Linked DNA regions of Cricetulus griseus. The protein of the gene in region 1 interacts with the protein of each later gene in a pairwise test. Links are inferred from orthologs where the notes say so. Each region holds a gene or a part of one and is shown on either strand. Other genes may lie near its edges.

The links. The genes of interacting proteins can lie anywhere in the genome.
Region 2: the proteins of Bcl2l13 (region 1) and Tmem86b interact in binary tests that used the Homo sapiens proteins (3 or more experiments, as listed by UniProt). The two-hybrid records come from large-scale screens. The link is inferred for Cricetulus griseus from reciprocal best matches to the Homo sapiens genes BCL2L13 and TMEM86B.

Annotation. Positions count from the first base shown.
Region 1 is NC_048601.1:24,056,788-24,062,348, reverse strand, and holds the start of Bcl2l13 (bcl-2-like protein 13), read left to right. Parts: upstream 1-2,323; 5' UTR 2,324-2,463; exon of another isoform or gene 2,464-2,949; intron 2,950-3,607; exon of another isoform or gene 3,608-3,649; intron 3,650-5,561. UniProt on the Homo sapiens protein: May promote the activation of caspase-3 and apoptosis.
Region 2 is NC_048602.1:23,280,214-23,285,900, forward strand, and holds Tmem86b (lysoplasmalogenase), read right to left. Parts: upstream 3,804-5,687; 5' UTR 2,689-3,803; coding exon 2,638-2,688; intron 2,240-2,637; coding exon 1,993-2,239; intron 1,016-1,992; coding exon 633-1,015; 3' UTR 328-632; downstream 1-327. Other genes in the region: Ppp6r1 (serine/threonine-protein phosphatase 6 regulatory subunit 1), read right to left, coding at 4,795-4,798, 4,879-4,941, 5,031-5,141, 5,576-5,657. UniProt on the Homo sapiens protein: Catalyzes the hydrolysis of the vinyl ether bond of choline or ethanolamine lysoplasmalogens, forming fatty aldehyde and glycerophosphocholine or glycerophosphoethanolamine, respectively and is specific for the sn-2-deacylated (lyso) form of plasmalogen.

The DNA.
Region 1 (5,561 bases):
ACTGAATTAAAACATCATGTCCTTTGAGAACATTTGGAAGGTAAATAATTTCCAACAGAGGTTACTGTTTCCCATCATATAAAAATACCTTCAGTAGGACCTGGAAGCTGGACGCTCAGCTATGTGTTCCATAGACAATTCACCTATGGAGAGAAATTTTAACTGGGAATTCCTGCTGACTGCCTCAACTTCCCCAGTCAATTCTTGCTGGATGCTTGTGAGTTACCTTTTACTTTCTCAATCATGCTATCTCAGTTGTCCCTTGCTGGATGTTGAAAACTACTTATTCAATGATATTTTAATATCTGATTCTAAACTGACAGCACCGCTAGCACAGATCGTTCGTTCTTCAGACAGTACAGAACAGGTGTATACTCTTATAATCCTAACACTTGGGAAAGTAGAGGCAGCGATTTGTAAAGTTCCATACCAGCCTGGTTTAAGCAGTAAGACTGTCTCAAAAAAAGTGTTTTGTTTAAATCTAAGAGCATACTAAACCTGCAAGTATTAACCAATTCATATTTTCCTAAACCCAGTCTTATCTTGGTTCTCGTAGAGAAACTATTTAAAACAAATTTTCAAATGAATTTTAAGAAACAAGTCTATTCTTGTGTAATTGTATTTGCTTTCGTCTATGAAAACTGCTGGCCTAAATTCCTGTCAGGTTACTCACAAACGATGGATCTGCATGCTCACTGTTCTCACCTATTCCCAAGCTGGTGGACAGGAGCAAGTCAGCAAAACAGGCAAATCCATTTCTGTTAACGACAAGGTAGTGTAGGCTGGCCTAAAACTCGGTATGCAGCTGCAGATGATCTTGAACTTTTGGCCCTCCTGCCCTCTTCTAAGTGCTGTTCTTCCTAAGGATCCAGGCTTGATTTCTTCGAACCCACATGACAGCTCACAAACATTGACAAATCCAGATCTAGGTGATCTAACGCCCTCTTCTGACACTAGGCACCCACATGCTAGTATAAACCTGAGTTTCCAGCACATAGGAGACAGAGGCAGGATGAGATTCAAAGTCATGCTAGGCTACAGAACAAGTTTGAGGTCAGCATAGGACACAGTCCCAGAAAACCAACAACAAAAGCATACCACTAAATAGAATTCAGTATGCTTGTAATTGTGCTGCCATTGTTACTGTGATTTTTGTTTTTTTCTTTTGAGACAGGGCTTCTCTGTGTGGTCCTGGCTGTCCTGGAACTTGCTCTGTAGACCAGGATGGCCTTGAACTCACAGAGATCTGTCTGCATCTGTCTTCAAAGTGATGGGATTAAAGGCGGGCGCCACCACCTCACGGCTACACTATGTAGTCTTGACCGCTTGGAAATAGCTTTGGAGACCCCATCAACCTGTAATTTATGGCAATCCTCCTACCTCGCCTTCTGAGTGTTGGGATTACAGGCCTGTACAAGCAGCTGGGCACATTTATCACTTTCTGATCTGATTGGTTACAACCGCCTTTTTCCTAACTCCTAATCTTCCATGCTGTCTTTGTTACTTCATCTTAAGAACAAAAGCAGGATGCTCGTCTTTTAACCTAGATATCTTGATCTTTTCACATTGAGACACAGATGCTTTCTGCAAAGTTCATACTCTGAAAACTAGATAATCAGGTTACACATACCCCCTCATCTTTTACGTAAATCTATTATGTTTTTTTTTTTTGGGGGGGGGGTGGGAAGCATTCACAGCTTATCTCGGAGCACAGGTTGGACTGCTACATGCTTTCACGAAGCCCAGAAAACAAGCATTCATCAGCACGAACTTCATCCCAGGCAGCTTTGCTAGGCCTTGTAAGTAGAAATGTATTATTACTAAAAGAGCCCTTTACCACCACGGTGTCTGGGCTCTAGACCCGTCTGTCAGTCCTGTCTTTTAAGTTGCTTTTCCAACTTTCAGGACAACCTCCTGGCAGGTAGGTGGCTGAGAGCCCGAACCCGGCAGCGCCCGCGATTGCTGTACTGACAGGCAACCCGCGCGGGCTTGGGCACTCCCGGAATGCACAGGTCTGCGACGCCACCAGCCGCTCGTTCCACACCGGGCTGAGCAGGCGGGCGGTGTCTACCTCATCTTAGCGCTACTCGGCACCGGAAATGACTTAGCGAAGGCATTTCTGAAGTCCAGGAATCTATTTCTCCCCCGGCTCCTGCAAAGAGAGGCCGAGGGACAGCTCCGTACGCAGGTCACGCCTGCGCGGACTGACCAGCGGGCAGCAGGGTCACCGCTTCCGCTCCAGCGGACCGAGCCTCGGACTTCCGGCTCGGCTCCGCGCCCCAGCCCCGCTCCCCCACGCGGGCCGTGACGGAAGCGCGCAGGGGTGACCTCACCGTCCAACATGGCGGTGGCGGTAGATTAGGGCCGCGGTTCGAAGCAGCCACCGCCGCTCCCGGACCCTGTGGGAAGCACCTGCTGCGGCCGCCGTCTCCTTCATCCCTTCTGGGGCAGGGCTGGCGCCAGGTGAGGGGAGTGGGATTCCGGGAAGGTCCTGCTGGGTGGCGGAGCGGGTTTTCGCCCGCGGAGGAAGGGGGTCTAGAGACCCCCCGAGCCGACCGCCCGGTGCTGCCCCGGACGCGGGGAGAGCAGGCGGGAGGGAGCGAGGACCGAGCTGCTCTGCCGGGGCTTGTCGGGGCTTGTGGGCACTGCTCGGGGCTGGTGGACCTGTCCAGCGTGCCCCCACGGTGGGTGGCTTTTGGACGGGCTGTGTGGCTGGCTGCCTGCGGCGCCAGGGACTCACCCTTGCTCTCCATTCTGCCCCTCACCCAGACCTTCGCTCGGAGGACCGGGGTCCGTTTGGGGGTCTGGACTGGGAGACGTGCCTTCGTTCTTGGAGGAGGGAAGTGTGTGCCGTTCACTTAGGACGATTATAGATTAGCTTCGCTAGTGCTTTCTTGCCACAGCGCTCCGAGTCCTGTTTCTCAGGGTTAGCGCTGCAGTTTTGACACCCGTTCCCACTCCACCCCCAACCCCAGGACACCACAACCAACAGGCTTTCTTAACCCCGTGGAGGCGATGGATAACCGTTCACGCTCATTCTTCTTTGCCTTCTTAAAAGTCCTCCCCATATCCCCACGGGATCCCTCATTTCTTGCCTTTATAGTATAGCGCCGTGCAGGAGGAAGCCTGGACTTTTTAAGCCCGGGCTTTTACTTTAAGGGGTAAAAATTGGACGACTCTGCCCAGCAATTCATATGCTCTTTGCTGATAGCTTTGTTAAGCAATTCACCATTCCCATGAACAAGTGTTTATCTCAAAGATCTGTCTTACACTCAGTGTTTAAAAGTTTTGAACTATGATGACAGGCCCCTCTTCTTTCTGATGTTTAAAAAAAAAAAACGCTTTGCAAAATTTCTAATATTTCCCTTGGAGGCTTGGCATAAACCAGAATGTTGACGCTCTCTGCCCTAACTTGTGTGACCTTACATGAATTGCCACACCCTTGAGATGCCTCCCCCTCCACCTTTTTTTTTTAACACACGGGAAAGTTAAGCAAGTTTGTGGGTAGGGAACCACTTATATTTCATACATGCAATTAGATTAATGTATCCTTCATGTTTATAACAGTGAATTGAAAATGCTTAAACTATTGTTCTGTATATAATAGGCAGATGAGGACTTCGCAGGTTCCCCTGCTCTGAATAATCAGGTACTATTCTAAATATTTTTTCCAGATAGCTCATAGTCCTTAAAATATCATTTGTTTTGTTTTGTTTTTTGATCTTATGTATCCCAGCTGAACTCATCCTCCTCCCTTCCTCCCTTGTATTGAGATCCAGGAGTACCCAACCATGTCTGTCCCTTTAAAAAATTGAATTAAACGTATTATTATTGTGGATGTAGATGTATGTTTGGATACACGTGTGTAGGGCAGTGGGTAACATTGTTTTTGGGGGAGTGGGGGGATGCAGGAAAGTTTTCTATATAGTCCTGGTTTTCCTGGAGCTTCCTGTATAGACCAGGATGGCCTCAAAGTCACAGACATCTGCCTGCCTCTACCTTTCAAGGCCTGTGCCACCATCCACAGCCAGTAGGCAACTTTGGTAGTTCTTTTTCTCTTTCCATCTTTATATATGGGTTCTGGAGATTAAACTCAAGTTGCTTTTAACGCTGAATCATTTCATTAGCCCTTGGTTTGTTTTGAGACTGTTTCAGTCTGTGCTTCAGGCTAGCCTTGAACTTTTAGTAGTCCTCCTAAATCACCCTCCCTAGTGCTGGAATTCCAGGGGAGGCTGCCACACCTACCTTAAATGGCCTGTATCTTCAAGTGTGCCCTGGAAATTGAATTCAGCCAAATAATGTGTAAGGTTAAATCCAGCCATCTTTTTTTTTTTTTCTTTTTGAGACAGGGTTTCTCTGTAGCTTTGGAGCCTGTTCTGGAACTCTCTCTGTAGACCAGGCTGGCCTCAAACTCACAGAGGTCTGCCTCCTGAGTGCTGGGATTAAAGGTGTATGCCACCACCATATGGCAAATCTAACCATCTTAAAAAGTGTTATTATTTGACAATTTTGCATAAGTATGTAGTTTGTTTTTGTCATTCCTACCCTCACTCCTTTTAACTTCTCATTCTTGTACTGCTCTCACTAAACAGCTTTTTCATCTTATAAAAGGCAGGCACTCCTGGGAATGTAAATACTGGGGAGGCTGGGTGAGATTGCTGGGAGACCACCCTGGGCTAAAAGTTAGACCCTGTCGTAAGAAAAAAAAAAAAAAACAGGGCTGGAGAGATGGCTCAGTGGTTAGGAGCACATACTGCTTTTCCTGAGGACCTGGGTTTGATTCCCAGTACCCACATCAGACAGCTTACAACTGCCTGTAACCCTCACTCCAGGGGGTCTCACACCTCTGACCTTTGTGGGCACTTGTATTCATGTCCTTTAACACACTTTAAAATTTTTTTCTTCCTTTATTTTTTTTTGGGTGTGTGTGACAGGGTTTTATGTATCACAAGCTGATGTAGGGGTGAGTTGGTTCTCTGTTTCTACCGTGTGGATTCTGGGAATTGGTCAGACTTGGCAGCAAGCAGCTTTACTTACAATGGAGCCATCTTGTCACACTATCAAATGTTTTTCTGCATTGTTTCTTATGAAATATTTTAGACATAAAATTATTCTATGTGAGTGTTTTGCCTGTGTCTATGCGCACTCTGCGTGCCTGGTGCCAGCAGAGGTCAGAATAGGGAACACCTACAGGAACCGGAGGTCGGACGGCTGTGAATCACCATGTGGGTGCTGGGAACCAAACCCAGGTCCTCTGCAAGAACAGCAGATACTCTTAACCTCCGAGCCTTCTCTTCAGCTCCAACACCAAGAATTTTTTAGATAGGGTGCCCCTATATAGTCCTTGTCTGGTCTTGAACTGTGATCCTCCTGTCTCAGCCTAAGTGGCTAGAATTACAGACCCGAACCACCCAAATCTGGGTCAAGAGTAATATTTTCAGAAGTTGGGTTTTTATATTAGGGATCAAACCACTGTCCTTTTACATGCTGAGAGCTCATGGAGATACACTCCAGCCCCTTTTGTTGTTACCTGCTTTTTGTTTTTGTGGTGCTGGTCATAG
Region 2 (5,687 bases), on another chromosome or scaffold:
TGTCTCTGATAGGTAGACAATGAGAGGACACCAGAAGCCCTCCTCTGACTTAGTGGGAACATACAGGCATGCTTGTCTACACACACAGGTATACCACTCCCACTCGGGTAACTTTTGGTTGCTGTCCTTGCTTTTCAAGATAGGAGTTTCTCTGTGTAGTCCTGACTGTCCTGGAACTTGCTCTGTAGGCCAGGCTGGCCTCGTGCTGGAACGGAAGGCGTGCATCACCACTGCCCAGCCCAAATAATCTTTACAAAACAAAACTATGCCTGCTGTTAGGACCTGTCATCATGCCCACACATTTCCTCCCAAATAATGACACTGATGTTCCAACACTCACTTTACTTCAGCAGCGAGAACCAGATTAGGGAAGGCTGACAGGGAAGAGGAAGCAGGCATGGGGAGGGCAAGACGGGATGTATGCTGGGTTGGGAGCCTGGAATCCACAATCAGAAGCCCGGGGAGGGCAGCTTGATCTCAGTGGTAGATTCGAAACTGCCAACGGTACACAGATGTTTTAAGATGGCCAAGTATCTGCAGGCACATGACCGGAAGCATCCGCTTGCCAGGCTGGGTCAATGTGAAGAGCCAAGGTACGCATTCGGGAGACCCTGGGCTGTCCGGGTCCTGCATTAGTGGAATTTGAGCCCTGGCTTCCTGAGGGCTGACAGGGCGAGGAAGAGCTGGGCTGCATAGTAGGTGGCCATGGTTACTAGGCGGGCAAAAGGCACGGAGTGGATGAAGGTATCCCAGGCCAGCACACCATCGGAGACGGTGAAGAGCAAACCGCCCCAGGCAGCACTCCCACCCCGGACCAGGCTGCGCCACAGCATGGAGAACAGGACCAGCCCGTAGGCCAGCACAGGAAGGACCATGCCTGACTCAAGGTGTGGCAGGAGGAAGCTGTAGTAGATGAGACAGACCGGGGCGACGTATAGCAGCAATCTGGGCTGCAGCGGGGACAGGCCGAAAGCACAGAGGTACAGTGAGTGGGCGACAAAGAAGGCGGCCATGCCTGAGGGAGAGAGGGACAGGGCCCCATGAGGCTAACGGAGGGCATCCACTCCTGCTTCTCACCACCAGACCTAACGGGACAAGCTCCTCCCGGCATGTCACATCATATTCTTCTCAGATTAGAGCACCCCTTTTCTTGGTGGGTTTCCAATTTCTTCCCATTCTTGATCATTCTATCAGTTCCCAGAGCAATGAGAATGACTTTAAAATTCATACCGTGTCACCTACTGGCTCTGTTCACGCGTCCATCAACTCCAAATCGTGTTCTGGGAAGCCCTACGCCCCGGTTTCACCAACCACTCTACTCCAGCCAGACGGGCCCATTGGGCAACGCAGGTCCTTCCCACACACTATTCCATGCCCTGGGTGGCCACTGTCACACACATCCTAGAAACTATGCCTCCATACCAGGTGTGGTAGAGAAATCTCTGTATATTCCTGTAATCCTAGCTCTCGGGAAAGCTAAGGCAGAATTAAGCTAAGGCCTAAGTTTGAGGCCATTCACACCAACGTGGACTACGGATGTCTCAAAAACAACACCCTGCCCTCCTCAGCTATGGGGCATTTTAATTTTGTCCACACTGCCGGGCGGTGGTGGCGCTCGCCTTTAAGCCCGGCACTCGGGAGGCAGAGGCAGGCAGATCTCTGTGAGTTCAAGGCCAGCCTGGTCTCCAGAGCGAGTGCCAGGATAGGCTCCAAAGTTACACAGAGAAACCCTGTCTCAAAAAACAACAACAACAAAAAAAAAACTTTTTTTTTTTTTTCTCTACACCATCCCTTCCAACTACAGCCTGACCCTAAACCCTCAGAAGAACCGTGAGTTGCCCGCCTCGCATCACTGCCTCCGGGTGTCTCGGGACCACAGCCTGGTTCAGCCCAGTGGATTCTAGGGGCATCTCCCTATAACCTAAACTTGTGTCCCAGAACTGGCTGACTCCACAAGATCCCTAAATGGATTGTCATAGGGTCCCTGCTCACCATAAAGGAAAGCTTCAGGCCAGATGAGGAAGGCATCTCCCAAGGCAGAACATACAAGACCTCCCTCGAGGAGCCAGGAGTTGCTCCCACCAGGGGCCACAGCCCGCAGAAACACAACCAGGCACAGGCAGGGCAGGCATTTCACCAGGGCACTGATCCAGGAGGGCTGGTCCTCAGGAATCCAGAGGAGGAAATAGAGGGAGCAGGCGATGATGAAGGGGACCAGCCACCTTCGGACCTGTGGGTGCTTCAGGAGAGGAAGCTGCTCAGCCTCCCACCCTCAACCCAGTCCTCAGGAAGGGGTCACAGCAAGGATGATGGGAAATGCCCACAAGTCCAGTACTTAGGAGATGGAAACGGGAGGGCACTGGGCTCAAGACCAGTCTATGATACACAGTGAGGGCCTATTTTAACACGTGTCCCTCATACCACCCTGGTATCCAGGTTGGACTTCAGGGACCAGGATCTTTACCCACTTTGGTAATTTTGTCACTCAGGACAAGACCACAGTACCTTAGTACCCAAACTCCTGGAAGGACAGGGAATCCCAACCAACTCACCACAAGGACTCACAGGCCCTAGGGCTACCCCTGTTGCCAGGCCTGAACCCACCCCCAACCCCCCCCACCCCTCACAGGCTCTCACTTGGTCTGAGAAGAGTGTCTTCAGAAGCAGCCCCTCTTTTCTAGGATCCATGCTGAGTGGTGTCTACTTAGGAACCAGTGGCTTCAGAGGGCACAGGGGAAGCCTTTTAAGGTTACACATTAATCCAAGTGTCCTGTGGACTCTGGGACCGATAACAGGGCTCACCCAAGGCCTGTTCTTCTCTGGCACTTGCTGATAAAGTGCCCATCAGGACTCAAGGGTCCCTCCACCCCTCACAGCCCCTCCCCCGCACAGAGAAACCTGGCCACCTCCTTTTATAGGCCAGCATAGGTGGCCCTCCCATTGTCTTGTGCCCAGCCAATAGGAAGGGACAATGCAGGGTTCCACAGAGAGCGACCTACCCCCCACAACCAACCCCTAACAACAGCAGGCAGGAAAGATTCCAGAGAGGAACCCTGCCACAAGCACTGGTTGAACAAACCCTGCCTTGTGCTGGATGTCACTCAAACACGCTTCTCACAAAGATGATCACTGCACTGCACAGTCGCTGTTCTGTTCTGCAGCCTTCGCATATACAGGACAGGTACCTACCGGGTGCTGAGGGCCCAGCCCACTACTGGGTAACTCAGTAGGGGACTCCCAGGCAGCTGCCTGCCTCCTACCCCACCTTTTTTTGGGGGGAGGGCAGTTTCTAAGACAGGGTTTCTCTGTGTAGCCCTGTCTGTCCTGGAGCTCACTCTATAGACCAGGCTGGCCTCCAACTCATGCAGATCTGCCTGCCTCTACCTCCAGAGTGCTGAGACTAAAGGCGTGCGCCACCAACGCCCAGCGTTCCCTATCCCCTTAAAGGCAGAAAGCCCAGCTCCAAGGTCCAGAGACCTCTTGTTCTTCCCAGCAGATCTCAGCTAAAGGAGGACAGAGGGAAGGGAAGGGGGCTGTGAGTTGACAACACAGCTCCTACCCTGATCTGTATCTCCAAACAGGGCCAAGGCAGTGCACATCATGATGAGAGGATTCCAAAGCGCTAACTCAACAAGACTGCTGCCCTTTTCCTCGTGTTCTACCTGGTGAGCATAATAAGCACTCCTCACCCCCCACCCCTGCCACACACACACTTAAAATAAGCATTCCTCAGCCGGGCGTTGGTGGTGCACGCGTTTAATCCCAGCACTCGGGAGGCAGAGGCAGGCGGATCTCTGGGAGTTCGAGGCCAGCCTGGTCTCCAGAGCGAGTGCCAGGATAGGCTCTAAAGCCACACAGAGAAACCCTGTATCAAAAAAAAATCAACAACAAAACAAAAAAGCACTCCTCACCACACACACTCACAAACACACACTCTCACACACTCACCAGTGTCCTCCAAAAGAATGCCATTCTCTCTAGACCATATAGAGCAGATTCACCCAACCCTGAGTCCCAGAACTCAAGGTCTGACACCAGGATTCTTCAGCTGTCTTCCTTTATTTATATTTGCAGTATGAAACACAAACCCTGCACACATACTTGCACACTCACGCCAGCCTGGGGGAAGGAGCTGGGACAAGGCCACTTGGCAGCAGTGCTGGGACCCTCAGGGTACTGGGCACCCAGAATCCCCGGTTCTGGCCCTCTAGGGATGTTGCCAGGGAAGCCCCGCTCCCCAGGGCCAGGGGCCAGATGCCTGGTCAAAGTGCAAGGTCTGAACAAACGCATGGCCCTCTGGGCCTAGCGCCCTCTGTTACACCCCAAGGTGGTCCTGAGTGAAAGGCCGGGTGTGAGCATCTGCACCAGAGCCTGGGTCAGCAGCCTCAAAGCCCAGCGCCGGTCCCCGCTGGACAGACGACTCCCGGGAGGCTGTGCTTCAGAGCTGCTGACCCAGCTATTGTCCTGGCTTCCTTTCTTACTCCTCCCTCAATATATATATATATATGTATATATATATATAATATATAATATACCTCTCTCTCTCTCCTCTCTCTCTCTATGTGACTCTCTATCTTTATTCTAGGAGACAAAGCTCCATAGTTTCTCTTCTCAGTGCAAATGGGGTGGGTGAGGGCATCTCCCTGGCACCAGCCTCCTTTGGAGTCCAGAGGAGAGAATGCAGGATATGGGGAAATGGGCAAGAGGGCCACCAAAGGACCCATCCTGCCCCACTGGGGGGGGTGGGGTTCCATGGGGAGGACAGAGGATTTGGCCATCACTGCCACCAGGCAGCTACCTAGAAACAGAAGGAAACACGTGTGAGGAGGTCCAGTGACCCCATCTTGCCCACCCACACCAGGCTGGGGGCACACTCACTGGGAACCCGATGAAATGGGCCCTCCTGGGGTAGAGCCATTGGGCGTCTCAAGGGCCTGGGCACTGTTCGGGGAGAAAGGAGAACTGGGGGTTACCTCCTGCCCCACCATCCTTGCCCATCCATCCAACACCTCCTGGAGAGGCCAACTCACCTCTGGCTTTGGGGAAGCCCCAAAGGTTCTGGGTTCTTTTCCCCCTCCACTGTCTGGGGGGACTTCTGGGCCTCAAAGGCTGGGACAGAGGTAGAGGGGTCTCTGGTTGCACTGTAGGAGAGACCAGTTTGACTACTGTTAGATGCCTGCTGACAGGCTCTGCCTGCTGAGGCCAGTGGTCTCTCCAGAATGGGCCTCAGGTGAGAAAAGGCTGGGGCACAGAGCCCTCACAACAGGGAAGCCTATGAGCACACTGAAGGCAGAGAGAGCATGGGGGCGGGAGAGCCGGGGCTCCTCAGCCTTCTACCTGACTCTCAGTGGCCAACCCCCTTCAGGGTACGCTTATGGTAACACGCACACTCCTGCCACTGTCCAAAACATTTCATCACTAAAAGGAACAGCCAGCTCTAGGGGCAAAGGAGCTCAAAGTGGAGCCCGGTGCTGAGGACAAGTAGGGACAAGGGCGCAGCAGCCACTTCAGCAAGGAGGCTGGGCTTCCCCTACCCCTCCTCCAGCAAGCAGCTCAGATGGACACCAACAGTCACCTGTCCAAGGAGCTGGGGTCAGAGCACATCCCATGCAGAGTGGCCTGGACATCCGCAACACTAACCAAGGCCTGGCAGGGGGCTGTGGAAGGAGAGATGGGCCGTATGTCAG